Linked DNA regions of Alligator mississippiensis. The protein of the gene in region 3 interacts with the protein of the main gene of each other region in a pairwise test. Links are inferred from orthologs where the notes say so. Each region holds a gene or a part of one and is shown on either strand. Other genes may lie near its edges. The genes, in order: CYFIP2, PICK1, FMR1 and NUFIP1.

Region 1 (7,523 bases), on a different chromosome or scaffold from region 3:
GGCTTGTCCAGAAACAGCATGGACAAGAGCTAGAAAGTGATTCAGGCTGTCTGCACTAGTCAGCTTGCTTTGGTCCAGCCGAAGAGACCCCTGCCCATGCCAAAACAGCTCTAAAAACTGCAGAGGGGGGATTTTACTGATCAGGGCACTCTAACCCAGCTGCCTGTGGTATCACAGACAGGGCAGCAGCGCCATGGGGAAGTGGGCAGAAAGCCTGGCACAGAGGACAGCAGCTGTGATGAGGAGAGATGGGCTTGTTTATGGCCACGGCCTGGCTCTTAAAGGATGCCCCACTTTGTGGCCTGTGCCAAGGACATCCACACTGCTGCTTATTTTTTATATCTTATATATTTCTTACATCTTATGGAGATGCACCACAGGTTTTCAAAGGATGCTGGTTTTCTACAGATTATGTGTCTCTCCTTCCAGATTTGTGCCTAGAGGCAGGTAGCGTGGGGTGCAGAGTACTTGGAAGTCGGGTGCAGAGAACTGGGGGGTTATTGCTGGCTGTGCTTGAACCCTGTCCACGGAGGTGACCCCCCGACACCCTGAAGGGAGAAGGCAGCAGTGGGATGGACCTTAGACCTAGACGTGGTGCTGAGCTGCCAGCATTGGGCTGGATGACTGCCAGGGTTGAGCTGTACTGTCTGCAGCACAGAGGGCTTCAGAGTGACCATAAATCAATGTAGATCTAGCCTCACAACCATCATGTTTCTGTGAAACCACCCTCCTTTGCTGAAGAGTCAGAAGAATAACTTCATCTGTGTGAACAGAGGAGAAGAATAAATTCATCTATCTCCATACTATGGGCAGAGGGAGGGGGTATACAAGTAGTCACTATATAGTGACCGCATGGCTGAAAACACGAGGAAGGGACGGAGCCAGGGGGAGAGAATGGGATTACAATGGACCGGGATGCAGGAGGAGGAAACATTCAGGATCGATCTCAGCCAGCGAGGCTTCTTCAGGCCCCATCTGTCCACCCCGACTCACGTGAAATAGGACTTCCAGGGGTGCACAGTCACTTTGCAATCCAGGAGATGCGTGCGGGGGGAGTGCAGCTCCCGGGGAGCCAGGCTTGCAGATCGGGGCTCCTGAGTCACTGCTACAAGTACGATTAATAAGCACGGCGCTCTCCTGCCCCTCTGCTACATCCCAGCCATGGCCAGCGGCCCTGTACGTGGAGTCCTTGAATCTGGACATAATCTAACCTCGCTAACCATCTTTTTTTTTGCTAGTCTAGAAGGTGCACCTCTACCATAAATGCAGACAAATAGGGCTAACTACCTTTCTCTTACCACCTCTGTGCTTTTGTGGGGGGGATGACTTAGCCAATATTTTCGTGGCAGGAGGTGACAAAGGAAAGGGATCCTGTGCTATTGTTTGGAAACGGCATTGCCAGAGTCCTGTCTAATTGGGATTGCTGGTAGATGACAGGGAAACATTCATTTCCTGGGAAACTCAATCTCACATAGGCAGAGAAGTGTAATGAATTGTGAGCCAAATGTTTGAAAAATCCCATCCTCCTTTCCTTGTTTTGTTCTTGTTGCTGCTATTGTTAATAGTGACAAGAACAACAATAATAGTTGCAGTATCACAGATTTGGGCTGCTCAGGCCGGGTTTGCTGGACAGACGCCGGCCCCACCGAGCAAGGTGCTGCGTGGTTCCTTTCGGCTTCCCTAAGGAAAATCAGCGGGAGGCATGAAGAGCTAAACTCTTCTCTCCAGGCAGCACCGCTGGATGGACGTGGGTTGAACAGACAGCAGGATTTAGCCCAAGTAATCCATCCCGGTGACCAGCATCTGACAGCTCTCCTCACCTAAGCCACCAGCAGCTGGTTCTTTCTGCTTCCCGTGTACAGCGGGCTGGCTCAGGTGGCTCGGCCGGCCCATAATCACTAGAGATCCCTCGGATCCAAAAACCACCGCCCCAGACCCCCGTGCTGAAAGCAGCAGATGGCTCGAGGGAGCCCAGTGAGGCTGCCCCTTGCTAAGGCTCTTTTCCCCTCTGAAGCATCAAGGTTTGTCCTGAATTCCCACCGCCAAGCAAATGCACAAACAACTCCAAGCCCCCGAGCACGCACAAAGGTCTCCGTTCGCCTCTCCCACCCCACCAGACCCCCTCAGCCTGCAGGCATTGCCTGCAACACCCACGGCTCCTTCCCTCACCCCGGGACCCGGCCGGCACCAAAGAGCTTGGGCTGGCAGGGGCGAGTGGGCAGGGACAGGTCTGCAGGCCCAGGCGGGGTCTCCAGGAGGGATGCTTCCATGGGACCCCAGCATCCAGGGGCTCCCTGGAGGGAAGCGCTCCCCGTACCCTCCTTAGGGAAGCAGGCAGCACCTTGCCTTCTGGGGCCAGGCCCTGGCTGACAAAGCCAGCACCGAGGAGCCCAAATGCAGTCATCCTCGCTGCTGCTACAGCTGCTGTGCTGGTTCCTTGGTGCTCCAGGCCCTGGCCAGACTCCTGCCCCACCTCTGCTGGGTCTGACCATGCCCATGCCCATGCCCGGTTCCCCTGCCCTCCAGCCCCATCTCTGCTGGGCCTGAACATGCCCATGCCTGCTTCCCCTGCACCCCAGCCCCTCTGCCCCATCTCTGCTGGGTCTGACCATGCCCATGCCCGGTTCCCCTGCCCTCCAGCCCCTCTGCCCCATCTCTGCTGGGTCTGACCATGCCCATGCCCGGTTCCCCTGCCCTCCAGCCCCTCTGCCCCATCTCTGCTGGGTCTGACCATGCCCATGCCCGGTTCCCCTGCACCCCAGCCCCCCTGCCCCATCTCTGCTGGGTCTGACAGTGGCCATGCCCAGCTCCCCTGCCCTCCAGCCCCATCCCTGCCTCTCCCACGCCCCAGGCAGGCTCTGGTCCTCCGGGCCCCTCCAGCCCCGGCAGCCGGGAGCATCCTGCTTGCCGCGGGATGGAGCGGGGGAGCCGCTTACCTGCGCCGCGGGGCCGGGCCGGGCCGGGCCGGGCCGCGCCGGGAGGAGGATGCTGCAGCCGCCGCCTCTGCTGCTGCAGCCGCTGCCGGTGCGTGCGCGTGTGCGCGTGTGAGCGAGTGTGAGCGCCTCCGTGTGTCACACAAAGAGAGGAAATGGCTGCAGCAAGTGCACTTCCTCGGCTCTCCGCTGCGCCCGGGCACCGGCCCCTGCAGCATCTACCTCTGCAGCATCTACCCCTGCCCCTACATCACCTACCCCTGCCCCTGCAGCATCTACCCCCTGCCCCTGCCCCTACATCATCTACCCCTGCAGCATCTACCCCTGCATCTACCCCTGCCCCTACATCACCTACCCCTGCCCCTGCAGCATCTACCCCCCTGCCCCTGCCCCTGCAGCATCTACCCCTGCATCTACCCCTGCCCCTACATCACCTACCCCTGCCCCTGCAGCATCTACCCCCCTGCCCCTGCCCCTACATCATCTACCCCTGCAGCATCTACCCCTGCCCCTACATCATCTACCCCTGCCCCTGCGGCATCTGCCCCTGCAGCATCTACCCCTCTGGCCCTGCCCCCCCCCCCAGCTCTTCCCCCAGAGATGCAAGGCTGCAGCAATGCCAGGTCCCCGGGGACCCCTGGGGTGCACCCCTGCCTCCTGGTCCCCTTCCCAAGGGAGGTTGTGACAGCGCAGGTGAGGCTGGACTATACAAGGAAATGTAGGACACGAGTGCTACTGGAGAGCGGCTTGGCAAGGGCAGGTGTGGTTTCAGCAGGGGGGCGTCCAAAAGGGCACGGTGCCATTGTTGTGCTTTTGCCACCAGCCTCCAAGGTCACCTCCAGAACGGGGGTTCCCAAACTCGGGCAGATGGAGCACCACCATTTAAAACGATACAGCCTTAAGTACCACTGGCAATTTTTTTAGTTCAACCTTAAGTGCCACCAGCAAGTTTTTATCATAAAATAATTATAATAAATCTGTTAACGTGTACCACTCTCAGGTTGTCCGGTATGCATCCCGCGGATTGGGAACTGCTGATCCAGAATATGGCAGGACCTACGATGGCCGATGGGCACCTGCTGGCTCCCAGGGAGAGGATCCCCTAGAGAAGGAAGAGCCGGGTGGTACGAAGGAGGTCTCACATCCATCCTCTCTCTGCTCCTTGTCTGGCTCAGCCACCTCCCTGTCAAACTGGAGTTGCCGCTCCATATCTGCATCCACCAGATGGAAGAAGAAGTGGTTTGAATGGGTCGACTGCGTAACGTCATGTTGCATGGCAATCCTTCTGGAGGAGCCAGAGCACCTTCTTTACAGCCGTGGCCAGCTTCGGGCATCGTCTGAGCTTTTCTCTGGCTATCAGGGTGGTTCAGCACCGGGTTGGATTCCTGAGAGAGCATCATGAGCCTCCTAGAGAAGACGACATCTAGTCCAACCCCCCCGCCTCAGGCAGGATCAGCCCTTTCCAGGCCCTGCCAGTTTGGAAGCTTTTAAGAGCAGATTAAACAAACACTTGTCCAGGGTGGTTGAGACAGGATTGATCCTGCCTTGAATTAGATGTGGCCTCCCAAGCTCCCTTCCAGCTGTAGTGTACTGTGATTTTCTGATGGGCTGGGATAGCAACATCAATGACTAGTGCTAGCCTGGTCATCTCATCCACAAACACGGTGTCTGAATATAAGAATTGCTGTCTACTGGGTCAGTCCTTAGGTCACAGAATAGAAATATAGAAAATTCAGGTTGGAAGAGAGCTCAGGAGTCACATCTAGTCCAGCCCCTGCTCCGAGCAGGACCAGCCCCAGCTACATCATCCCAGCCAAGGCTTTGTTGAGCTGGGTCTTAAACACTTCCAAGGATGGAGACTCCACCACCTCTCTAGGTAACCTGTTCCAGTGTTTTACTACCCTCCTAGAGAGAAAGTTTTTCTTAATATTCAATGTTATGACCCCTCATTCTTGCATTGGGAGAGAGAGTCAATAATAAATCCCGATTTACTTTCTTTTTCCAGTTAGTATTTGGTAGCCCCTTATCTGGGTGTGGTGGTTTGTGTGCCAAGGTTTGCTCCGCGATGGTTGACCTATCCCAATGTGTTTTGGTTTCATCATCTTCCAGCACTGGTGGCAATCTGTGCTTGCAGCGAGGGTCGGTAGCCTTGGCCATCTGTCCGGTACAAGCCAATCTGTAGGGCATTACCTTGGCCACAGCATTGTGCTGCTCAGTGCACGCTCAGGTCATGAGGTCCAGGCACCTGCCCATGAGACGGTGAATAGTTTCAGTGAGGAAGCCAAGCCCGCACCTGTCTGGCACGTCATCTTTCAGGGCAATGTCTTTTCTTCCAGTAGTCTGGTCCCAGATGTGAGCACACACGTGTGCATGCATGCTCACGCACACACACACACATGCATAGTGCCATGCTAACAGTTGAGTTGGGTGCATTTCTCAACAAGGAGAAATGCAAAGTGCTGCACCTAGGGAGGAAAAATGTCCAGCACACCTACAGCCTAGGGAATGACCTGCTGGGTGGCACAGAGGTGGAAAGGGATCTTGGAGTCCTAGTGGACTCCAAGATGAACGTGAGCCGGCAGTGTGACGAAGCCATCAGAAAAGCCAATGGCACTTTATCGTGCATCAGCAGATGCATGACAAATAGGTCCAGGGAGGTGATACTTCCCCTCTATCGGGCGCTGGTCAGACCGCAGTTGGAGTACTGCGTGCAATTCTGGGCGCCGCACTTCAAGAAGGATGCGGATAACCTGGAGAGGGTACAGCGAAGGGCAACTCGCATGGTCAAGGGCCTGCAGACCAAGCCCTACGAGGAGAGACTAGAGAAACTGGACCTTTTCAGCCTCCGCAAGAGAAGGTTGAGAGGCGACCTTGTGGCTGCCTATAAGTTCATCACGGGGGCACAGAAGGGAATTGGTGAGGATTTATTCACCAAGGCGCCCCCGGGGGTTACAAGAAACAATGGCCACAAGCTAGCAGAGAGCAGATTTAGATTGGACATTAGGAAGAACTTCTTCACAGTTCGAGTGGCCAAGGTCTGGAACGGGCTCCCAAGGGAGGTGGTGCTCTCCCCTACCCTGGGGGTCTTCAAGAGGAGGTTAGACGAGTATCTAGCTGGGGTCATCTAGACCCAGCACTCTTTCCTGCTTATGCAGGGGGTCGGACTTGATGATCTATTGAGGTCCCTTCCGACCCTAACATCTATGTATTACCACTTCTGGCTCGAGGGGTGAATCAAGTATTTGGAGTATTTGTCCAGGTTTGGAGGAGAACCTGGAGGTGGAATCAGATTCTGCTATTAGACTCCTAATTATTTGCAAAGGATGTGGCTGTCTGATTTCCCTGAATTTGTGAGGAGCCAGGGAACAGGACAGTTTCTTCGCTCGCAGCTCCAAGCCTCTTCCAGACGGCACTCGGCCCTAAAGCTCTCTCAGAGGCCATATTTCCAGTGGTTTTATCTTAAAGTTTTTGCTGCCTTCCCTCCCTGCTTCTCTGGCTTTTCTGCTGTTGCTCCCCCACATGTGTACCTTCACAGATCAATACCCAGAAAAACTCTCTTGCCTACATTTTCCTGTGCTTGGGATACAGGTTTCTGTGGGTTCAACATCCTGACTGCTGTAAGCATCTGGGTGGCTTTATTCAACCATTTTAAACCCTGCAGATTCACAGTCGTTTAGGCAAACCCATAGCAACCTCCTCCATCTTAGCTCTGCAGTGTATCCATGGAGTCTAAACTGGCAGCGCCGTTAGCCAGCTCATCTCAGCAGAAGCAATTCAGCAAATTGCACATGATGCAGTCTGAACTACAGACGTATTCCCAGAGCGTCTCCCTGCCAGGATATTTTCCTACCACCAGTCCCAAACAATTCAGCTCCCAACTAAATCTTGGAGTTTTCCTATCCCTGCCTGATTTCCTTTCAGGCAACCAGGATGAGCCCTCTCAATGATCCCCTGAAGATTTTTTTAGTCGCCAGTGCTGCTACAGGGATGCACGTGCCATCCTCACTGCACACTTCCTCCCCTACCTACAAATAAGGGTGCAAATGCTCTAGAGATTTAGCCACTGCCAGCACCCCTCTTGGGTGCTGCGATGCTTTCCCTCTGCAGAAGTCAGCCTTCGTTGCAATACGCTGTCGTGCTCTCAGGTTTTTTGTATTCTTGCATTAATACCGCCCCCAAACTGCGAGCGGTGGGATCGGCATCTAATGCAGAGGGTGACCCAAGTCAGGAGCAGTCACAAGGGCCTTCTGCTCTGAATTGCACCCGTGAGATCACTGAAATTGTTTCCCTTTCTCACCCGGCCTCTGCAACCGTTATGCAATATTAGCAAAACCACAAGTACACTTTCTGCAGCTGGATCATATCCTTGCAAAACTCGGAGGCCTGTGCATGCCTGGGGAGCTGCTCGGTTCCACGCAACCCTCGTTAGTTAGACTGCCTGTGGAAATTGTCCCCAACTTTTTGCTCAAGGTAAATGACCTCTTTTTAAAACAACTCACACTTTGCTAGGTAGTCTGGACTCAGACGGAGAGGCTGGAGCGTGAAGGGGCAAAAGGAGAGCTTATTCTCCCAGTGAAAACATAGATCCAG
Region 2 (7,802 bases), on a different chromosome or scaffold from region 3:
TAAAACCTAACCTCAAACGGCACACAGCAAAATCGTGTTTTCTCCTGACAGTGCCCGACTCCACCACTTTGATGTTTCATTTTGACCCCTGTCTCAAATCCACATGTCTCCGTCAGGGCATGAGGGGGTTAACAGCAAGAGACTGAGAGGCGGAGTACCACCTGCTATAGCAGGTAGTAGCCAGACATACCCAACTGATTCTTCCTTTGATCTTCCCAGACCCTAGTAATGCAGGGAAATTATCCTATTGTAACCCCTTCCCCTGCCCACAAAATATCAGAACAACTAAGATGATGGACAAAGAGACATCTTGATGCCCAAACTGATTTTCTTCCCTGCTTTCCCTCATAGTGGGGTTCCCCACATCCTTCATCTCTGAAGCATCCAGCATAGCGAACCCCCCACTCCCCCCTTTCGTATTAAAAATGTTGCAGAGGAAATTTCTCTTAGTCCCTTAGACAGTGGATATCATACATCAGTAGAGGTGCTGCTGCTTGAGTGAACTGTCTCATGGTTGTCCCTCAGGTCTGCCCTACAGACACATTCATCTTTGTGGTCTTTTGGGTAGAAGTGCTAACAAAGAGACTGACTAGCACCATTGATGATGATGCTCTTGTGGTGGAGACGCTGATCCCAGTAGGAACTGAGCTGGCAATCCCTTTTCTCCCCTGCCACTCTACACCACTTAGTGAACTATCTGTTGTAGGGCAAACGTTTGGTTTCCATTAACCTTGGGCTGGCTGGAAATCAGGTGAAAGATCAGGAAGGAAAGTGCCTGACCTGAGGCAGTGACAACCATTAACTGTGGTTTTCACCTGCCCCTGTCCTCCCAGACCCTCTGGTCCCTCTGGAAGGGAGTGATCAGGATGGGGAATCCAATCTGATTCTCCCACTCTCAGGGACTGGAGTACTAAATCTTTTGGCCTGCCCTTGAAGGAGACTAATTAATCCACCATGGCCTAACCAACCTCCATGTTTAAAATGCCTTTTGTTTGTACCTGGTCCCCCATGACAATTGCTGCTATCCCTGCAAGGGAACACTACAAACAGCTGTAATTCAGCCACATGGACCTGCTCCTTGTTGAAGCTGTCAGAGCAGCAGCCAGTAGCTGTTACAATGTGGTTGCAGCCACATCAGGAGCTTTATTTTTTCCTGAATGAGCCTATCACTCTTCTCTGCTTGAGCCCACTCAAGCTACCAACCCTTGACCAGGGCCTGAGGGAGAAGCAGGGATTACTGACCATGTCCTGGGTTTTGAGAGGCTCTTGAACTGGTGCCAGTGGCTCCTTTCTGTTAATGATACAGAAGGAAACAGAGCAGATCTGGCTGTTGCATGGCTACCTCCCATCTGCCCAGGTCCCAACAGCAGATAGGAAGATCCTTGGGTCTGTTAGGAACTGTGGTTCATCAGATTCTCGGTTGGCTGCCACTCTGGAACTAGGCATCACAACAAAAGAATTGCCTTATGACACAGCAATACTGGCACCATCAGGGAGCCTATCATAAGCATAGGGATGCTTTACATTCTCCCAAGATTGGGAAAGACCCATGAAACCCAGAGCCATCATGAGTTCTTCTTGACCTTTACTCAAGGACGAATTCAGGGAAAAAAGTGGGGGTGGGGCTGCACTAAAAGGTCATTTTTAGATTTGTGGTGATAAGCTACATGATCCATCTGTGGATGGATGTGGCCTGATTATGATCTTACTTATGTAGTGTTAAGCAGGAGTAATTTCCATTAAGTCAGCGCAGACAGGCTTGTATCAGCCTGGAGTGAGAGCAGGATCAGGCCCATACATTTTACAGGCTCATTTTCCAAAGCAGACTCCAGGTCCCTTTTCTCCCTCCCTCCTTGGGGGTGTCAGACTCAGACCAGCTTTCAACAAGGAATATTTTAGTGAGACCCTGTTAATCTGTCTGGTTCCTTTCTGGCATTCCTCTTTGACTGCCTTGATGATTACCCAGCTATTCATGTGTCACTGAAATCTTTTGGGTCTCTCTCTATACATGCCTCTCCTCAGACTTCTTTCCTGCCAGTGAGATCACAGGGTAGGGTAGCTGACTTCACAGCCATTTCCATGACAGTCAGGTGTGATGTCATAGTGCTGCCTAGTGATACCCACACACCTGAGGAGAGAGACAGTTCTCACTGAAAGCACTGGACCCCCGATATCTTGCTTTGGGACGTCCAGGATGCTTCTGATGTCCTATTTGCATAGGTTCTGCCCTCCAACCCTCTGGCTGTCTCTCTCCCCTTATTGGGGCCCAAGATAGAAGGAATTTTAGCCCTCCTTCAACCCATAATCAGTGGACTCACATCCCCTTTGCCCTACCCTCTTTTCAGTGTAAATGCTACCTCCCTCTTCCTCCGGCTTCCTGGGAGGAGTGGAGTCCAGTGCATCCCCTTTTTCACGGCAGAAGGCAGATCCTATGTACACAGTAGCATCTGGGAAGGTGTGTGCGCATTGCTGAAGCGTGGACCAGCAAAATGGGAAACAGATGGGAGGACACCTCCTGTCCCTTAAGAGGCAAGGAAGGGGATAGCCATCCTCTGTACCACCCTCACTTACCCAGATTCCCCTCCACCAGATTATCAACATAAGGAAAGGACAAACCTTCAGCCGTCTCTGCTATCCCCCTGATATGGCGTTGGGAAGATCTTTTAGTTCCAGCGAGGCTTCCTGATATCACTGGAGAGAGAGAGGCAGCCGGCCAAAATCCATGCCAATCCACCGCCCCTGCCAAAGGGACGTGGGGGAGTGAAAAGTGGGGGAAAGGGAGCAAAAATAATGAGAGAGGGCCCCAAGAAAATACCTACTCCCCAAATTAAAAGAGCCCAACCCACATTCTCCAGCTCTTTCTCCTGCTTCCCCACCTCGGAAGGAAATGGGTTTCATATGGATGAAGTGGGTGTCTGGCTGTCCCATCCAAGAGGGAATGCATCCACGGTTGCAGGATGGGGTCTAGCCATTTCGAAGGGGAGCTGACTCCCAGCTACAGCCCTGCCCTGCCCTGCCCTGCCCTGCCCTGCCCTGCCCTGTAGTCCGGCCGCTGCTGCCTCTGCTCTCACTGGCCCTGTCTCCTCTCTCCTCGTTGGGTCTGAGGCGAGCTGGACGCTTTTAAAAAGCTTTTTATGTGTGTGTGTGTTAATCACATGATTGTCGTTCACCTGTATCTTGAACAAAGACAGCGCACTGTTAAAGGCCCAAACAAGAAAGAAGGCAAGGGGGGGGGGGGATGTAGAGGGAAACTGAAGGGGTTGTTGAGAGAGAGAGAAAACCCTTATCAAACTTCCAATTCATGGGTCTCCCTTTCCCTCAACACACTGGAGTTATTGTTTCGCTGTTGTGTGTGTGTGTTTTTGAATGTCTGTCCCCCCCGCTCTGACGCTGTTTTACTGTATGGAAAGATTTCATTGTGAACCCCTCCCATTTTCCCAGGCGGGCCTGGGACAATACCAGTCCTGTGCCCTTGAGACGGGACATGGCACAAAAGCTGTCACTGTCTTATTTACCCAGATTCTTGCTGGGGTGCAGCAGCTCAGGTATTTGTGGTGCATACCCAGTTATCTGTGACAGATCTCCCTGGAGCTTGAGGGAGAGGCTGGGTAGCAATGAAACGGGCTAGGCACACCAAACGTTTTCTGCAAGGCCTCAGGGACCCCTGGACTTTGGGATCTTGTCTGCACTTCTCTCTGAAAATCACCTCTTTCTCCCCTTCAGACAGATTCTTTTTCCTTCATGTTCCACTTCACAGTGGATCCTTCATCTTCCCTGCCCAGTAACACACCATACGGGCTCTTTGGGCCAAACCCATCCCTAGTAACTTCAGAGATGAACTTGACCTTGAGTATCTCAGTAGTGTCACCACCACGTCTGGATCCTGCCTTAATATGGCTCCTTATGGTGATTCACCCTGCTTGCTCATAGTTCAAATCTTTTCCTCTGTTTTGCTCCTTAATGCTTGGCTAAAAGCAGGATCTGTGTTGATGACCAACTTTACTCTCTTGCAGAGGGGCTGGAAGTCATAGGAGCCTGGAGTGCTATATAGGTCTCTTATAGGACTTCCTAGGGCACAAAAGATTTGGTAAGATGGAAAGATGGGAGCAAGGGAGCATGTCACAGAGATACTGCACATGCACATGTATTGTCGGAAGCCCCATCAACAGGCCAGCTCTATATAATTTAGTGCTTTATCTGCAATAAGAGCAACCACAGTACACTCTCACCAGAGAACGGGCAGCCAGCACAGACCACAGAGCGAGGGTGTCATTTACTGTCACAGGCATAAGTCCTGGAATAGCCAAGCTGCCACAGCTGCAACTTACAGGTGGTTATGCAGAGCTCCCAAATAAAATACATCTATATAGTCACAATGGGATGTGTGTGTGGTGACCTGGAACTGGGTCTGCAGGGGGGACCCCAGGCTTAGAGAGAGAATTGTAAAGGAATCACTGGATGTGTGAGCCAGGGGCTTGATATTCAGAAGCTCCCTCGGTCTTAAGAGCTCACTCGTTGGAAGGTATTTATCTCAAGTACTTCTATGACCCCTGCTACTATGGTACATGGGCACCTCACTGTCCTTGGTGTCACTCCCTTCCCAGCACCTATGTGAGGCAGAGAAGTGCTATTATCCCTCCTTCTGCCAATGGGGAAATGAGGCACAGAGAAAAGGACTTGCCCACGGTCATGCTAGAAGTGTGTGAAAGAGCAAGTTCTCCCAAGTCCCATGCCAGTGAGCCAACTATGCTAGTGTGGAGGAGACTGAGGATCAGAGCTGTACAGATATAATGGGATAAATACTATTCAGCTGCGAAAAAGAGGTGGAATCTGCTATAGGCAGATTGCTGTACAAATACCTGCCAACCTGAAAGGATCCAACTGGCCCTCACCCTTATAAAGATCTTTGCTGAAATTTAATCAGATGGGTGGCTAATAATGGACCTGGGAGGTTTCTCAGTCTTAGAGAGGTGCTCAAACAGGTAACATCTTTATTCTGTAGATAGAAAGTTGTTGCCAGCAGTGACTCTGGAGTAGAGAAATGGTTGCTGTTCTTCCCTCACTCAGTGTCCCATCATCTCAGTGATGTAGAAGGCACCATATAGTGATAGAGAGAAATCCCCGTTGGCTACCCACCACCATATTACCAGGACATGTTACCAGGATAGAAAATGAGGCTGAAAAGGGTTAGAAAATGCTTAGAAAACACTTTAAACACCTGTGCTCCTACTCCAGTTTCTGAGGAATACTTGGGGAGCTGAAACTGGACATAGAAAAGGAGGAAAGGATCAAAAGAGATGACAAAGAGAAAGAGAAAAATCAGGATGGAAATGGAGTAAGAAGGAAAGAAGAAAAACACCCTCTCTCCCAGTTAATTGCAAAGAACCATTGACACGGCATTTTGGTAAAAGCTACGTAGAGCTCTTCTCAGAAAGGCCAACATGTGTGGATCTGCTCAGGCTACCTTGACTTTGCTCCATGACAGGGGCATATCGATTCCATCACAAGGTAAAGGCAGGGACTGCTGTTTTGTTCTGTGCTTGTGCAGGGGCTCCTGGGCCATGACAAATGCTTTTGTAGGCTACCAAATTTCAAGTACTAATACTGGAAGTACAAGGTGGTCTCAAACTCTATGCCTCATACTAATAGTGTCATTGTGGTTTGGCTTCTTTATCCCACCACTGGGAAGTGTCATTTTGTGTTCTCTCTCCCACATTGTTGGGCACATGCAGAAGAGATGTGATCTCCAGCTCTGCCTTTCCATCAGATTTAAGCACCATTTTTTTTTCTACTTAGGGTCAACATAGAGGACCCTGGACTTTTTGATTAATGTGCCAAAAAGAGTGTAGGACACCCTGAAGTCCTGTGTCTTGTCAGGCACTTTGCTCAAGCGAGTCCCTTTGTTGTTGACTCTTGACCTAGCTTATAGCAGGGGTTTCAGTCAACTGATGCCTTGCCACTGGGCTATCGGGACTCTGTAATCCCATTCCTGGAAAAAATATCCCCCTCCCATTCTCCCTTTCTCATGAGGCCAGCAAGAACCTGCACCTGGAGGGAGGGAGGGAAAATGAACGCCTCCTTCTTATTGTATCCTGCTTTGCCCTTCCCCCATCCCAGGTTGGATATTAGCCTCAGAGGAGGAACAATTGGGCCAGTGTTTCTTAGTCGTGGCTATCTCCCAGTGGGACCAGGAGATGACCCCTTCCCCCTCCCTCAGGCGGTTCCTCTCCTCCATGAAGATTCCTGCATCCCTCACAGAGGCTCCTGTCAGATTTGTGATAAACCTCACTAGCCGGGGAAGATGTGCTGAGTTCAGCAGTCTGGATGATACAGTGATGCTGCATCTTGTACGCAGTGGTGATCATTTTGGGCTCTTGGGAAGAAGTGACCTGGCCCCCATGTGTTTTTCCTGTAGTTTCCTGGAAACTGCAAGGGACAGAGGTTCAGCATGCCAAAAAAATTCCTGCCACGCCAGTGGGAATTCTCCCCATGAAACAGAGAGAGCTCGTCTGTGTGATGGCCCAGGATTCACCAAACCAGCACTGCAGCGTTGCTTATATGTAGGAACCAGGGCCTAGAAATTTCTCCACTGAGATCTCCATGAGGAATTTGTGTGCATGTGTGTGAGACTTATATCCCTTACTCTTCAAAGGGAAAAGGAGACAATATTGGGGAAGATGCTTTGCTTGCTTGCTTGGGAGAAGGAAATACTAGACCCTTGTCTTGGGTCTTTGTCTCAGAGAGACATGGACAATGCTTGAAGATGTAGGGAAGGTCAAAGTCGGCCCTTTGGACAGGGGTTTATTTGGTGCCAACTCCACCTTTTCACACACCTGGTATATCATGTATGGACAGGTATTTGATGCCACTGCTGTAACCTGCACTTGCCATCAGCACCAGGAAGCCCACATCCTTGTTCTCACTTACACCGGTCTCATTAAGCTTCCAATAGGCTTCTAGTTGAACTTAAAGCAGGTCCCCTTAGTGCTGTCCTGTAGCTTCAGCCCCCAATCCTTACCGTAGTATTTATCTCCCTTGGACCCTCGCCATACAGAGAGGCAGGAGGCAAAAAAGTGATCTATAACTGTGTAGGGAAAACAGGCAGGCAGGCACCACTTTCAAAAGTGTCGACCCTAGGTTTGCTCTGGAAATTGCAACTCAATGGGGTTGTTTCCTTGGCTCTTAGTGTGACCCTACCCATTATTTGCTCTCTCCTTCCATCGCTGTGTGTTCTAATGAATCAAGTCCTGCTCCACTGGCTCAGCTTGGACCTCCCTTGATGAAACGATTTCCCTGGGTCTCTCCTCTCTGTATTTCTGGCCCGACACTGAAGCATTTCCAAGCTGGCTCTTCACTTATGAACTTGGTGCCTAGAGTTGTATGTTGGTCCTAATTAGTAACATCTAGAGCCCATGGGATGGTCAGTCCCTGGTCTTGCCAACTTTTCAGTGGGGAACCTTGAATGGATATGCTGTTCTTCACCAGCAAGGATGAGAGAGGAAGTGATGTTAAGAACCCAGCTAGCAAAGAATTCTGGGAAGGAAAATAATCACAATAGAAAATAAAGGGCGTAATGCAAAACACCCTAATCCACCGAGCTCTAGAGTTACTTTTACGTCCCGGCATGTATGGGTGTGCGTGAAAGGGAAAGAGAGAGAGAAAGAAAGTGAGTTTTCCCTGGAAACCCTGAGAATCCCCCTCTTTCCTAATGGACCCATGTCACCCCCCCATGCTTCCACCCACAAATCTTTAGGATTAATTCAGCCCTTCTTGGTAAGTGGCCAGAGCCTGGGTGTTTGAAT
Region 3 (6,913 bases):
GTCACTGTACAATCAAAATTCTTTCTAGATTTATTTTTCTTTTCCCTCCACTAATGCAATCAGTCATGGTATCAACACAATTTTAGATTCTGGTAGAAGAAGAAAAACTACCAGGAGTTTTGGAAAGCTCCCTAGAATGTTTCTAAAACATTTGTCTTTATAACAGACAATACATAAAAGTACTATTACTATGTGACAGTAGTCCTCCCAGTTATTTGGGATGACCTGAATATCGCTTTGTGGCTTTGCCATTCATGAGTAATGTGATCACCCCCAACTCATGCCAGGAAGTGCTAGATCCAGAAGGGACTTAAGCATGGTAAATGAGCATTTGCAGAGTCTGTTAGGCACTTAAGTGCCTTGTAGTATTTGGCATCTGGGGTCTTAACAGGAACCCGAGGAAAGTTAGGTACCTCGGAAGGGAGATACATTAGAACACTTAGCAGGGAAGTACCTGAAACAGGGTGACAGGAAGTGCTGAGGATAGGAGGTCTTAAATCCCACCTTCTTGGGAGGGGTCAAGAACCTAACTAAATCACAGGCTGCCAAGAAGCACCTCTGTCCACTAACCCCAATGATGGTTAGACACAAGTCAAGCTCAGAACTGTCAAGTACTGTCAAGACTGAGGTGCTGCTGGGTACAGGAAAAACCAGAACTTTAGTTGCCTAGATTTTTTATACTCCTTAAGGGTTATGGAAGAGTTTTGTGGCAGAATTTGAAGGATTTAAATTTTGGACTGAGATGCCTAATGCAGAAGTTAGGTGGCCAGGTCAAGATGAATCCCCTTTTGTGGAGCTTCATCTTGTGCTGCCCATACACTACACCAAAATACAGTAGCAGCACACATTCACAGAATTTTGCTACAGTTCTTAAAAGCGGGATGAAGGCCATTTTACAGTACCAACTGTAAGGGCATACAGCTAAACTACACCAACAAGATGCGCAGCAGCGAAACACAGGACACAGGCTCCGCGTGCGTGTTATGTCCTGAAACAGATGTAATGTGGCACTTGGTGTGGCTTTGGACATGTGCCAATAGACATGCCAGAGATACTACATCCCTGAGATATTACATCCCCTTTGCAGTGTAGCAGTCCAGAGGCAGCGGGGACATGCATTTAAAGTTCATACTGCAAAACTGCCTTAATAGACTCTCAAGATCCTTACTGAAATTCTACAGATATATACCGCTGTTACACCTTGATGCAAGTAAAGAAAGTGAAGCCCTTACAACAAAGGCTAGAGATAAACACACCATTAAATAAAATTGGATAAAGAGTATTTTTACACTCTTATGATTCTAAAAGCATCCATCTAAGATATTGCCTACAGAAATGTTTCAGTTTACCCTTCAGTCATGTAACTGAAGCTCAGGTCCAGAATTTGTCCCTGCTGCAAACTTTGCGCGATGCCGGCCAGTACAGTTCATTCTGTGCCTCAGTTTCCTAATCACCAAGATAAGAATAATACTGGCTCATGTTACACCGAACCAGGCACATGCATTCATATTTGTGCAGTGCTCAGGTATTATAATGAAAAGAAAACTATTCACCTGAATGGATCAACTATGAATTTTGGTTATAGATGCTTAAAACTTTTAAAACATTTTTTTTTTAAATCTAGAGAACTGATTGATTTTGTTATAGCATATGTGATGCTTCTGCTGAGCCACCTTTGGAGGACGGCTGAGACCTATTTGCCATTTCCAACCCCCCACCCCTTATTTAACCTTTACATTTTTATTTCTTCACCAAACCAAACTATAACGTACTCCAAAACGTAAAAAGGAAAGAAGAAGAATATTCTAGCCAAAAGATGAATAAACCTGGATGGGCTAACTAAGCTTTCATACTTACCAACACAACAAACTCAGCTCATGATTTAAACCGCCCAGTGAAATTAACAGGAAGACTTGTAGGTTTCAACCAGCAAAATGGAAAAGTAGAAATCGCGCGTTTTTAATTCGCCGATTCTCAGAGGACACGAACCGGACAAACCCACGTGAAGTCCGCACGTCCCAAACTTTCTATCCCGGCGCTAGCTGTTCACGCCAAGAACACGCTTCGTGCTTTTTTAGGAAACCCCTCAACTTTCGACCCCGAAAACTCCCTGAGAAAAATCCCCCCGCTATTTAATGAGACCTGATCCCGAACCCTGTCTGCTTTCGAAGCCCGAATCTGACCAGCGCTCGAAACGACCGTTCACGAGCGCGTCGGGGCGCGAACCCCTCGCAAACTTCACTTTCTGCACCCCTAAAAAAAATTTAAAAAAACCCCCCAAAACCTCATCTGCTCATTAACCCTAAAAAGAAAAAGAAATAAACAAAATAAAAAAAACCCTCGTGCAGTCATTAACCCTAAAACAAATAAAAAAAACCCTCGTGTGCTCATTAACTCGCAGCCCTAAAACCGGGAGATTTCCCTCCCCACCCCGACTCCCCCAACCCACCCGCCCCTTTCCCCAGGGGAGGATGGACATTTTGGGGGCTTCTCAGGGGTTTAAATAGGGAGGCAAATCCCCCTTAGCATCCACCCAAGGGAACTTTTTTTTTTGGAGGGGGGAGGGGGGGATTTTTCTAACAACAACAAAAAAAAGCCCCCTCCCCCTTCCTTTTCCCTTCTTCCTTCTCCCTCCCTCCCCCCCCCCACAGGGCGCACGTGCCCAGCAGGCCTCACGCGGGACTAGGCCTAGGCCGCGGCCCACCCCACGGGCCCCGCAGGCCTCGCCCGGGCCCGGCCGACAATAGGCGGAGCGGTACCTTGTAGAAGGCCCCGTTGGAGCCCCGCACCTCCACCACCAGCTCCTCCATGTCGCGTCGGGCCCGGCGCCGCCTCCGCGGGGTGTGTGTGGGGGGGAGGGGCGGCTCCCGGCTCCGGCCCCGGCCCGCGGCTGCCCGGAAATGAAAGCGAAACGGTCACGGGCGCGCGGGGGGGGAGGGGCGGGGGGCGCCCGCCTCGAAGGTAAACATTCGACCCGCGTCACGTGACCGAGAGGGAGGGCCGCTCCCTGTTAACGGCGGGAGGGAGGGGAAGAGGGGAGGGGGGGCGTGTGAGGGGAAGGTGCAACCTAACCCGGCGAGCGCTGGGTGAAGCCCCGCCCTCCGCCACCGCCCGTCCCGCTGGTGAGTGACCGCGCTGGTAGCCAATGGGAGAGCGCGCGGAGCGGCCAATCAGGAGCGGGCGGGGCCTGAAGAGGGGGCGGTGACCCGGGGAGACGGGTTGCCATGGCGGCGGGTGTGCGGCCTGGCGGTGGGGGAGGGGGGTTTGCTAGCAGCTCCGAGCTGGGGTGTCGGGGGGTCACGTGTGCTCGTCTGAGGTACACGCTGGGGTGTCACAGACACTAGTCAGGTACACACAGAGGTGTCTCGTGTTACTCTGAGGTACACACGGGTGTCACACACTAGTCTGAGGTATACCCAGAGGTGTCACGTGCTAGTCTGAGGTATGCATGGGTGTCACACACTAGTCAGGTACACACAGAGGTCTCATGTGCGCTAGTCTGAGGTACACACGGGTGTCACACACTTGTCTGAGGTATACCCAGAGGTGTCACGTGCTAGTCTGAGGTATGCATGGGTGTCACACACTAATCAGGTACACACAGAGGTCTCGTGCGCTAGTCTGAGGTACACACGGGTGTCACACACTTGTCTGAGGTATACACAGAGGTGTCACGTGCTAGTCTGAGGTATGCATGGGTGTCACACACTAGTCAGGTACACACAGAGGTCTCGTGCGCTAGTCTGAGGTACACATGGGTGTCACACACTTGTCTGAGGTATACACAGAGGTGTCACGTGCTAGTCTGAGGCACGCATGGGTGTCACTAGTCAGGTACACACAGGTCTCACGTGCGCTAGTCTGAGGTACACGCAAGTGTCACTAGTCTGAGGTATATGCAGAGGTGTCACGTGCTAGTTAGAGGTATACACGGGTGTCATGCTAGTCTGAGGCACACACAGGTGTCACATGTGCTAGTCTGAGGTAGACATGAGTGTTGCATGTCCTAGTCACAGGTGTCATATGCGCTAGAATAAGGTACACACGGGTGTCGCGCGCTAATCTGAGGTATACACGGTGTCACACACTAGTCAGGCACACACAAGTGTCACGCACTAGTCTGTACACACAGGTGTCACATGCACTAGTCTGAGATACACACGGGGTGACACGTGCTAGGCTGAGGTGTAAACAGGGTGTCACGCACTCGTCTGAAGTCAGACCTCTTTTATTTCAACTGTGTTATTCTTTATGTCAAGGGAAATCAAATCACAATACATCATTTAGAAATATTATTTAGGTGCCAGACAGGCCACGAGGGTCAGGAGCGACAGGACAGAGGAGACTTAGTGTTTCAAGTGCAAAACATGTTGCCAGCTGGAGCTTTTTTTGAAGTACACTGCTGCACGCACGGCGGTGAGGTGACTCTGCGTGCCTGAAGAAGGGCGTTTACGCCCGAAAGCTTGCAACGAGCAATTTTTACAACTATTTAGTTGGTCAAATAAAAGATCATCTTTCCCAAGAACCTTGCCGGCTCGCAGCGAGGGGATACCTCACTCTGGGTCCAGTGAAAAGTTTGGGGAAAACTGCATTTTTGGCTTCAGCTATGTAAGTTTTGCCATTGTAAATGATGAAGAGGAATTTGATCGGTATTTACAGACTGTTCTGTAATAAACTCGGGACCTGAAGTCAGTCGGAAGACGTAATCGCATGGAGATCTATATATCTATACATAGAGGGAGAGAGCACATGCTTTTGTGGACCCCAGCTCGCTTCACCATGCTGTGAAAGGCCTTGCAGGAAACAGCATGAAGAGAGAAATTAGGATACAGAAAACGAGGAGAGGGAGAGAGCAGGGGAATGGGCAGTGCTAGGTGAGACAATGTTAGGGGCATCTTTTTATTTATTTATTTATTTATTTACTTTGCCTGAGCACAGCAATCCTGAGGGGTTAGGAATAAAATTAAATAGGAATAAAATTGTATTATATTTAAGTTCTAGTATTCTTTCCCTCATGGGAAGCTCTTATATTCCTTCCCTCATTTCTTATATATCCACCCCACTGTGTCACCGGTTGCATTTTCTATATAGGGGTTAGTTTTGAAACTGAGTTTTCCTCTCCTAGATGGAATGGACTTTCTAGCATCTGACAAGGCAAGCTATAGCCTATGAAAGCTCATGTCTCTGAATGCAGGTAGATGTGAAGGACGGTTGCTCCTGCAGTTTGTGATGGCAGGTAGTAGCTTGGTAGCCTCCCAGTTTTGATAACACATTTCCATTTTTTAAAAGAGCTTTAAGTTCTGTTTTTATATATACATGTACGTATATATATACATGTATGTATGTATATATATATGTATCTATATATATATATATATATATATATAGTAATAGCATCTAATTTAACTAGGGCTGTTAGGAACCATGGGTGAGTTGTGCAGCCTTGGGGGATGCCAGGGAATTAGTCTTGAGGAACGTGGTTGATTCCTAACCAAAAGGCTGTCTCTCTGCCCCACCTCCTGGCCCTCCAGCAGTCATCTGGGTAAATCCAGTAGCCAAGCTGTCTAGAAAGCTGGTGTTATCAGAAAACTATAAGATGTGGAGGGATGTCACGGGTGATCAGCCCAACCTTTTGCTCAGATGTGAGCCACGTTATTCCTAAAATATCCCAGACAGGCCTGCTCAGCCTCTTTGAAGAACAGCAGCGAAGGAGATGCCACAGTTTGGTTAGGTATCCAGGTTGTAGCTATATTGGTCTAGAGGAAATGATATCTTTTATTAGACAGTTGGTCTAATAAAAGATATCACCTCTGTCCACAAGCCCTGATTACAATTTAGGTCTTGATTCATTGGGAGGTATATGTTTCCTAAAGAACTGCAGCTGACCATTCTCTAGCTGTCTTGGCCCTGTTTTGCCCAAGGGTTTCAGGTGAAGGAAGGTGAGAGAGTGAGGTTGACTGCATGGGCATCCCATGCTAAAATCCATTCCAGATGCAGATGTCATGTTCATGCCAGTTGGTTTTAAATAGTGCAAGCTACAGAACTTCAAAAAAATAGGTTGTGCTATATTTAAATATGTTTTGTGCACCACATCTGCATGCAGAAAGGGGTTGAAACCTGATCTATATACTTTTTATTAAGATTGATTCTCTCTGCAGAACTACAGGGCAGAAAGGGATAGCAGCAATCAGGAAGGAGCACTTTTTTATAGTACTTGATGTGTGGGTTTATTTTAGAACAGGTTGGGAAAGTCTGCTCCTTACAACTTAGCCACTGACTAGGATTTACTATTTTATGTATTGAAAATTAAAAGTAAAACAGATGCTTATGATTCACTAAATCAGAGCTATGTAATGTTAGCCACAAGATACCTTGATGATGTAGGCCAACTGTAAACAAATCATATCAAAATGTTATAAATGCAAAATCAAGCACTTGCAATATAGGAAATACCAAAATTAAGGTTACCTGTGCACCTTTAGTTTGAGCCCCTTGTGCATAAGTATCATGATGCAGTATTCTATTATATGGTCACATGCTATCTTCTCCTAGAGCAGTGGTTTTGAACTTTTTTTTCCATTTGCAGACCCCTACAATTTCAAATGGAGGTGTGGACCCCTTTGGAAGTTTCAAACGGAGGTGCGGACCCCTTTGAATTGTAAGTGTGGGTATTCACATCCTTTTGATTGATCATAAGCATCTTTCATGGACCCCTTACACAGTCTGCAGACCCCCAGGGGTCCATGGACCACAAGTTGAAAACCACTGTCCTAGAGAGGTAGTTAGCTGCGTTAGTCTGAAGTTAGGCAGAAATTAGGGCAACGTGGTATTTTGAAGTAACTCATTTAGAGAGGCATGAGCTTTTGTAAGCCTGCTTTGTCAGATGCTCTGAAGTCCATTTTGTTTGAGAGAG
Region 4 (7,675 bases), on a different chromosome or scaffold from region 3:
TTGCTGACAAGGCTCCAATGCAGCTCACCGCTCCTGGCCTTGCTGCTGCAGCAGGGCCCATGCTTCCCAAGCAGGATTCTTCCCTGCTAGATTATCACAGAATAACCAGCTTTGATAGGCACTCCTAGCCTCTGCCTCTTCCCCTGGCTGATTATTTTCCTTGCAGCCAGCTCTGGCTGCTACTGTTTTCTCCTCAAGTAACAAGAATCTTCTGGCTCTCCATTACACCTCCCCAAAGCGTTTTTCAAAACAAAATTCTTTCCATTTGAGGACTGATGGTGCTGGTGAACTGATCCACAGCACTCTGTAAGCAAAAGGTCCTATTATTATTTCACAAGTGTTATATAACAAAGGGACAGAGAAGAAATCTATTTCCCCGAAGTTAAACTTAACCCAGAACTGTTTAAAGCATACAAAGCCACCAGCTACACACTATTAAGCTACAAGATCTTTTGAACTATTAGGTACAAAGTCTACATTGCCCCTAGTCTTTATTAAGGGAAACTAAATACCTGTTAAAATTCAGATTACAACTCTCAGCGACCAGCAAGGTAGAACTTCACTACAGTTTCTTGCTTGAAGTGATAGAAGTAGAGCAAATGGCACCTAAGAATTACTCCTATTGTGGAACTGTTTTCAATGGAAGAACCATGGGACACTGGACGGAACAATGGGATGGAAAAACTGCATTTAACTCAGATCTGGAGTAGGAAATCCCTTAATATTTCACACAGGTTTCAAACCCAGATATGCTTTCAGCATCAGGGTCACCAACAGCCAATCCCATGCAACTACAGGCAAAAGTTACAGATTTAACTGGGACCTTAGCTTTACCTCTTAATCAAAAAGGATACTAATTAGCACTAGCACTATACTCCTTGTCTTAGATCCCAGTTAAGGTAAAAGTACTGATTCTAATGCAAATATTACCAACTGATACCACCCTTGTAGAACACGGATCCCCTCTAGAGATCTTCCATTCAGACACTGACCATGACAAACTACGGTGAGGTTACAAAATCAAACACCAAAATGAAAGAACGTTGACAGAAGGCCAAAAACATTACTTTAATATAGACTTCCTAAAAATAAACAAACCCAACCTGTGTGTGCTGTGCAATGTGTTCATCATACTTTTCTTGGTTTTTAAAGCCACGGTCACACGTATCACAATAGTGAGCAAAATCTGGTTCTTTTTTCTTTTTGTTCTGCCAAAAGAGAAAAAAGGGGGACAGGGTTAAAGAAATTGATTAAAAATATTGGCTCTTATTTTAAATAAAGTAACATGCTATGAAGAAAGCGTTGAAAATATTTTATATCAATTGGAATTTCAATACTCCAGATATCTGAAATGCAGCTTAGTCTGAAAAGTAATTTTAAATCAAACTACCATATTCCACTTCTCTCAGCTTTTAAAGTCAAATAGGTTCCGTTTACTTTTCTTTTTAAAGCATCAATGCTACCACCAACCCATCCCAAGCTTTGAATATCTAGGTAGACTGAAGATATCAAATGAATCATGAGAAAAAGATTCTTGCAGGAGGCCAGCCCATCTCAACAATAAAGAAGCACCCCACGATACTGAATTTAGGCTTACAGACACATCATGGTGCATGCGCCATGTGTTTCAATTGAGAGTACTCTGTACTTGAACTACACCTGAGGCTGCATGCTCGACATAACAATTATAGTGAGTACCTTCTGTTTGTAGTTTCCACTGCCAGAACGTCTGTAATACGGGGGTGTTTGCTCAGCTTGCCATTCTGAGGCAAAATGGCAGCTTCCACCTTCAACAACACCAGTTACCAAAAAACAAAAAGAAAATTAAAAAGCAGCAATTATAAATTAAAAGTGATAAAAATGCAATGTGAAAATACACCCTATTTCCACCAGGATTATATTTAAGGGAAGGGGGAGCAGAAGAAGAGTGCACAGCCTAAGTTAGCGCTTTTCAACCTTTTTTCATTTGCGGACCCTTAAAAAAAATTGAGTGGGGGTGTGGACTCCTTTGAATTGTAAGCTGGGTATTCGCATACTTCCGATTGATCTCATCTTCTACAGATCCCTTTTAAATATTGTACAGACCCCCAGGGCTACAGGTTGAAAAGCTTTGACCTTAGTTATTGGAGCCAACCTTTCCATAGAACTGCATAGAAGTTGAGCCTGAACGGACCTCCAGAGGTCAACCCCGCCCAAGGCAGGATCATCCCTAATTAAAATCAACCAAAACAAATATATAATCTAACCTCTTTGGAAAACTACTGCCAACCTTTATGCAACACAAGACATCGCACCCTAACCTGCCACAGGTAAAGCAGATGGACTGCAGCAACCAACATCCTGCTTCTGTAAAAGGTTGCCAATATGAACTCAAGAGACCCTGGGTACAGAGAGGTCTGCACCCCACATTAGAGAGGAAGGCAAAACCCCCCACAGCCCTACCAATCTGACCCTGGGGTAAAATTCCTTCCTGCTGCCAAATATGGGGATCAGTCTGACCTGAGCAGAGAAGCAAGACCCTCCAGCCATGAACCTCAAGGTTTATGCCCCAGCAGGAGCACTGGCACACCCCAGGCACAGGCGGTGCCACCAATCAGCCCGAGGGCTGCTCCAATCCCCTTCCCAACCTGCTCTCTGCCCCCGGTGGGATCAGCCACATGCGTCCCATGCACGGGCCACCCCCAGCCTCTGTAACTTGAGACAGCCAGAGCTCGCAGGACGGTGTACGGGCAGCGGCTCCAGGTGCCTCAGCACTGCTCCTCCCGCCGCGTACCTGGGGGCGGGCCCGGGTGCTGCTCCCCGTAGCCGGGCGCCGGCGGGGGCTGGTACCAGGCGCCGGGAGGCCCGAAGTCGGCGGGCGGCCCCCAGAAGCCGGGTTCCCAGGCAGGCGGCGCGCAGAACACGGGGGGCGGCGGCGGAGGATACCAAGCGAAGGGATTCATGTCGGGCCCGACCCTTGCTGCTGCCTCCACATGGACCGCCTCGGGGGCCACCACATTGCGCGTCACTTCCGGGCCCGCTGTAAACACCACGTCCCCCCCTCGTGGCGCAGAGCCGGCCAATGGGCAGCTAGTAACGTCATCGGGCGACGCCGGAAGCGCGGCGGAGTCTGGTTGCGTTGCGCTGTGCCGGCGCTTTTGTTATGGCCCGGGAGCTGATCGGGCCGGCGCTGCCCCCGGGCTTCCCGCGCTGCCCCGAGGCGGACCCCGACGAGGACTTCACGCAGGGTGAGGAGGGGGCGGTGGCCGTTGCTGCCCACCAGCCTCTGCGCTCCGTCGCGTTCAGGCCGCTCCCGGCCTCGGAGCGGGGCTCGGCTCTGGTTGTGGCACGTGTGACTAGGGCAGAGGTTCCCAACCCCCGGGCCGCAGCGGGTTGGCGGCCGGGCCGCACGAGGGTTGGCTACCGGACCGGGAAAGGCATCCGACTGAGTATAAAAAAGGGTTGGCTGCCTCTCCACGGTATGCCGGTCACTTCCACACTGCAGTTTGTTGGTCATGGTCGTTTTTGGGCCACAGCTTGCTGGTCCGTGATCTAAAAAAGGTTGGGAGCCCCTGGACTAGGGTGACTGCCCATCCCTAATTGGGCAGGGCAGTCCCAAAATGGGAACTTCAAGCCCTGGTCCTGGGCTGCATGACTCCAGACAGTATTTGTCCCGGATTTGCAGTATTGTGCAGGGATCTGGGTTTTCCATTCGCGGCACGAAGGTGCTGCTTGGGGCTGAGGGGAGCAGGATGCAGGAGGTGCTGTATGAACATGGCTGGGGATACAGCCAGGAAGTGTGGAGAGCAGCTCCCTGCAGGTAAGTCTGTGAGGGGGGGGGAAGGGACATGGTGGGCGGCAGATTGAGACCCCCACGGTGAGGCAGGGAGTGGGCTAGGGGGCTGGCAGCACTGCCCAGGGTGGGACATGGAGCTGGACGGAGGCACGGGTGGTTCATCTGGGGAGGGAGTACAGGGGGCAGCTCCCTGTCACTGCAGGCACATGTGTCCGTCTGTCGTGTCGTGTGTCCCCCCCTCCCCCCAGTTTTCTGCATGGGGTGGAGTTGAATGCAGGCTTGGGGCTCCCTGCCCTGCTGCCCTTCTCCTGGGAGCCCCATGCTGGCTGTACCCCTCTGGCAAGGGGCAGTGTTGGCGTGGACTTGTGCCCTATGCTGCTCCCGGGTGGACAGGGGGCACACAGCCAGTGCAGGGCTCCCAGGGAAAAGGCAGTGGGGCTGGGAGCCCCAGGTTCACAGCAGGCAGCCCACACCTGCGCCCGCTCTGCTTGGCTCTGCTGCTGGCAGGAAGGGGTGGGGAGGAGAGGCAGAGACATGTCTTGCCTTTCCATTTTGAAGTTAAGTCACCCTGCATGTGACAATGACCCTGCATCTGTGGCCAGTCTACGTTTGTGGCACGATTCCCCAGTGAATTATGCCCATGACTTTTTGCCATTCATTGGTGAAGCGTGCTGTAAATTTAGACTGTCCACACACGCCAAGCAATCTCCCACCATAAAAAGGACTCTCCAAAATTAAAAAGAACCTACTGGCTACAAATTTAGTGCTTGGAAATGTGTAACAGCTCTACAGCTGGTTTCCATCCACCTTTCATTTAAACATGTAGCCGGGTCTTGATGCTGCTGGCTCCTGTTGGAAATGTTCTTGTTTATGTTGTGACTTGCACGCAGACACTCCACGTCACCTTGTAAAGGATATTGAGGCAGCCTAGGGTGGTGTGGGACCTGGCTGAGAATCAATGGATCAGGGGTCCCAGATGTGTATACATACGCCCATGGAAAGATGCAGGGTGGATGTAAAGGTGCACTTGCGCCCCCCCCCCCCCCCCCCCCCGCTTCACCCAAACTTTAAAGCCAACTGCGTGTGGGGGTTAGCGGTCTTTCTGTTCAGGCAGTGATGAGATAGTCAATTGACTTCGTGGCTCATTATCTTCTTCCTGAGTCCTGCTAATCTCTCTTCATTCCACAGGTGTTAAGGATTCTTCCTCCCTTTTATGGTCTTGATCTTCCACTATTCAAGCTATTCTTTCTTCTGCCATTTTGCTGTCTGTTTGCCATTCCTGGTAATGAGTCTCTTCCATTTCACAGCCCTACAGATGCTTTTGATCTCTAGCTAAAAACCTTAACTCAGGTGTGGTCATATTAACTCAGATTTAGACATGACTGACAGTGAAATATTTGAGGCACTGCCAAGACATTCAAAAAGGCTAGATTTTGTTTTGTGAATCTGATAAGAGATGTACATTTAACTATAGTGACTGCAGGACTAATGACATGCTATACTTTATTCGTCTAGTTTGTTTTTTTTCAATTGATACATATGCCTAGCAAATTGGTACACATTCCAATAGTTTGCTGTGATCTTAAACTTAATAATATGGCCTAAGGCCCTTAGGATATAAGTAAAGCGTCTAGTTTCTCTTGAACTGGAGAAAATGTGTCACATGGTGATTTATCATGTATTCTGCACCCCACTTTTCAAAATCCTGGATCCATCCATGCACATCGCCTACCTTGGACCTAAATCTCATTTGCTGCACTGGCAATAGGTTGCTCTGTTGTACGTCAGTATTTATTGCTACTTTTGGCTTGCGTAAGGCCATCTTGTCAAATCCTATGCCATTTATTGGAGAGGTCTGTAATTATTCTTAGTAGAAAGTTTAATTGTATGTCTAGAAATAATTAGCTCATCCCTACAAAAGAAGAGCATTTTTTAAACGCACTGGAAAAGTGTGGGTGGTCTAACAGTAGGGTCCAACCAAGGGTGACCAAGGTATGGTCTGCCACCTGTATCTGGGTTGGGGAGCTGCATCATGCAGCCCACAGGGCTCCACACAGGACCAGAAATTTGGCAGCAGGATGAGTGGCAACTGCATTAATTGCCACAGCTCCATGTTCGTCCTGCCAAATTTCTGAACCTCTGGGTAGCCCCTGCAGGCTGGATGATATGACCTTGCATGCCACATCGGGCCTGCAGACCGGTCTCATGCAACTCATCCAGCTGCTGAGCCAAATGAGTTGGACCCTGCTGTTAGACCACCAACACCAGACAAGATAAAATAGGGCATGTTCATAAATGTCTGTGTGTTTGTGCTTGCCTGCATTTGTCTTATATTTGAAGCAGCCACTTCTTAGCTACCAGGATGCATAGAAAATGAATAACTTGTTTGTGCAAGAAAGACATTATCTTCACTGCAGTTAGATGACTTTAGGCTAAACTTCGTTCGTATCTGTGAGAAGATTCTGTGAAAGACGCTCTGGAATGGGAAACACAGCCGTATAATAATGGCTTTAAGAGAGGTGAACTGAATTCAAACTATGTTAAGTACTTTTAAATAATATCACTTTCCTTCTTAGTTTAAAGGCACAAATACACTTATGGGTCATGTATTTTGAATACAGCCATTGAAGAATGTTCTGACCAAGTGCTGTTTTAGTGGAAAGTATTTATTTGTTGAAACTCAAAATTTTCATGGAAATGTGTTCATTTGCACTATACGTTGTTCAGGAAAGGCATCTCAAACCCAGGTTAGAATTTCTCATCAAAATTGGAGAGAGAGGAGACAGCCCAGAGGTTAGGACACTCACCTGTGATGCGATCAATCCTGAGTCATGTTTCTTTTCTGCCCAAGAGGGTAGACACACAGTGCTTTTACACCAGAGTAATTGGACTTCACCCCAAGTAAAAGTGGAGTAGATGCGAAGTATTCAGCCTTACTCAATGGTAAAATAACCCTTCAGAAAGGCAGTTTCATCCAGGGGTCACTGTTTTAACAGTGCAAACCCTCTCCGTTGTCACCTAGAGGCCAAATGCTATAATAACTCCTCCTGCAGACAGTTAATTTGGCAGAGGGAGTCTGGGTTCTATTTATTAAACATAACTTTGATAAACTTATTGTGAATTTATTACAGAGTAAAATGTAGATAAATTACTCTGTAGTGATAATATCATGTGTCCACACCCTTTTTCAGGTTAGCTGGGTTCTGTAGCTACCAGGCTGTTGGCTATTCTAGGATGGGTTTCCTATTGGGGCTGTTAAACTTTGTTTAAATAATATTCACTAAAGCAAGGACTTGAACAACAAAGTTCCCAGCTTAAGGAACTGACACTAAATCTTTTGAGTAATGTTGCATGTGTGAGCATTGCCCTGGAAGTCACTGACACTATTCATGGAAGCAAAGTTAAATGAACAGCTGTTTGCAGAATTAGATCCTAAAGGTGTTTTTGGCTTATCAGGTCTTCAGTGCAGCTGTTCCTGTGTTTCATTTGTTAAAAACTACTCACTTTCAAGACTAGTTTGGACTTAGGCTTGTTCATTTCTGTTAATATTTTTCAGCTGTGTTAAAACCACTTTTATTAATGCATCTCCCTTAGATGAGGCCCTGCTGCTCAGTCTTATGAAGTTTTATATAAAACTCATACACACTAAGTAAGTAGTTGCCATTTGGACAAATAATTAGCATATCAATTTAGCTTTAAAATTCTATTCCTGCTCAATGTAGTTTGCCTTAAGCTGTGATGAACAGAGGGCATGGAACTGCACAGAATGTGGTTGCTGTGGCCACAGTGGTTGCTGAAGTGTATCTAGGATTTAAGTCCAGTGAGATGTCAGGAGAGGAAGCTGGTTGTTAGTGGAATAGGTGGAGGTGGTGCCCGAGTGGGAGAGGTTGTTGAAGTTCC

What was found.
Region 1: the proteins of FMR1 (region 3) and CYFIP2 interact in a two-hybrid assay, tested with the Homo sapiens proteins (2 studies listed by BioGRID and IntAct). The link is inferred for Alligator mississippiensis from reciprocal best matches to the Homo sapiens genes FMR1 and CYFIP2.
Region 2: the proteins of FMR1 (region 3) and PICK1 interact in a two-hybrid assay, tested with the Homo sapiens proteins (2 studies listed by BioGRID and IntAct). The link is inferred for Alligator mississippiensis from reciprocal best matches to the Homo sapiens genes FMR1 and PICK1.
Region 4: the proteins of FMR1 (region 3) and NUFIP1 interact in a two-hybrid assay, tested with the Homo sapiens proteins (2 studies listed by BioGRID). The link is inferred for Alligator mississippiensis from reciprocal best matches to the Homo sapiens genes FMR1 and NUFIP1.

Annotation. Positions count from the first base shown.
Region 1 is NC_081832.1:77,889,482-77,897,004, reverse strand, and holds the start of CYFIP2 (cytoplasmic FMR1-interacting protein 2), read right to left. Parts: upstream 3,019-7,523; 5' UTR 2,937-3,018; intron 1-2,936. UniProt on the Homo sapiens protein: Involved in T-cell adhesion and p53/TP53-dependent induction of apoptosis. Does not bind RNA. As component of the WAVE1 complex, required for BDNF-NTRK2 endocytic trafficking and signaling from early endosomes.
Region 2 is NC_081827.1:99,868,096-99,875,897, forward strand, and holds the start of PICK1 (PRKCA-binding protein), read right to left. Parts: upstream 3,007-7,802; 5' UTR 2,877-3,006; intron 2,740-2,876; exon of another isoform or gene 2,692-2,739; 5' UTR 2,617-2,691; intron 1-2,616. UniProt on the Homo sapiens protein: Probable adapter protein that bind to and organize the subcellular localization of a variety of membrane proteins containing some PDZ recognition sequence.
Region 3 is NC_081831.1:75,853,917-75,860,829, forward strand, and holds the start of FMR1 (fragile X messenger ribonucleoprotein 1), read right to left. Parts: upstream 3,006-6,913; 5' UTR 2,811-3,005; coding exon 2,760-2,810; intron 1-2,759.
Region 4 is NC_081824.1:410,873,624-410,881,298, forward strand, and holds the start of NUFIP1 (FMR1-interacting protein NUFIP1), read right to left. Parts: upstream 3,019-7,675; 5' UTR 2,943-3,018; coding exon 2,774-2,942; intron 1,788-2,773; coding exon 1,699-1,787; intron 1,209-1,698; coding exon 1,104-1,208; intron 1-1,103. Other genes in the region: GPALPP1 (GPALPP motifs-containing protein 1), read left to right, coding at 3,143-3,227. UniProt on the Homo sapiens protein: Binds RNA.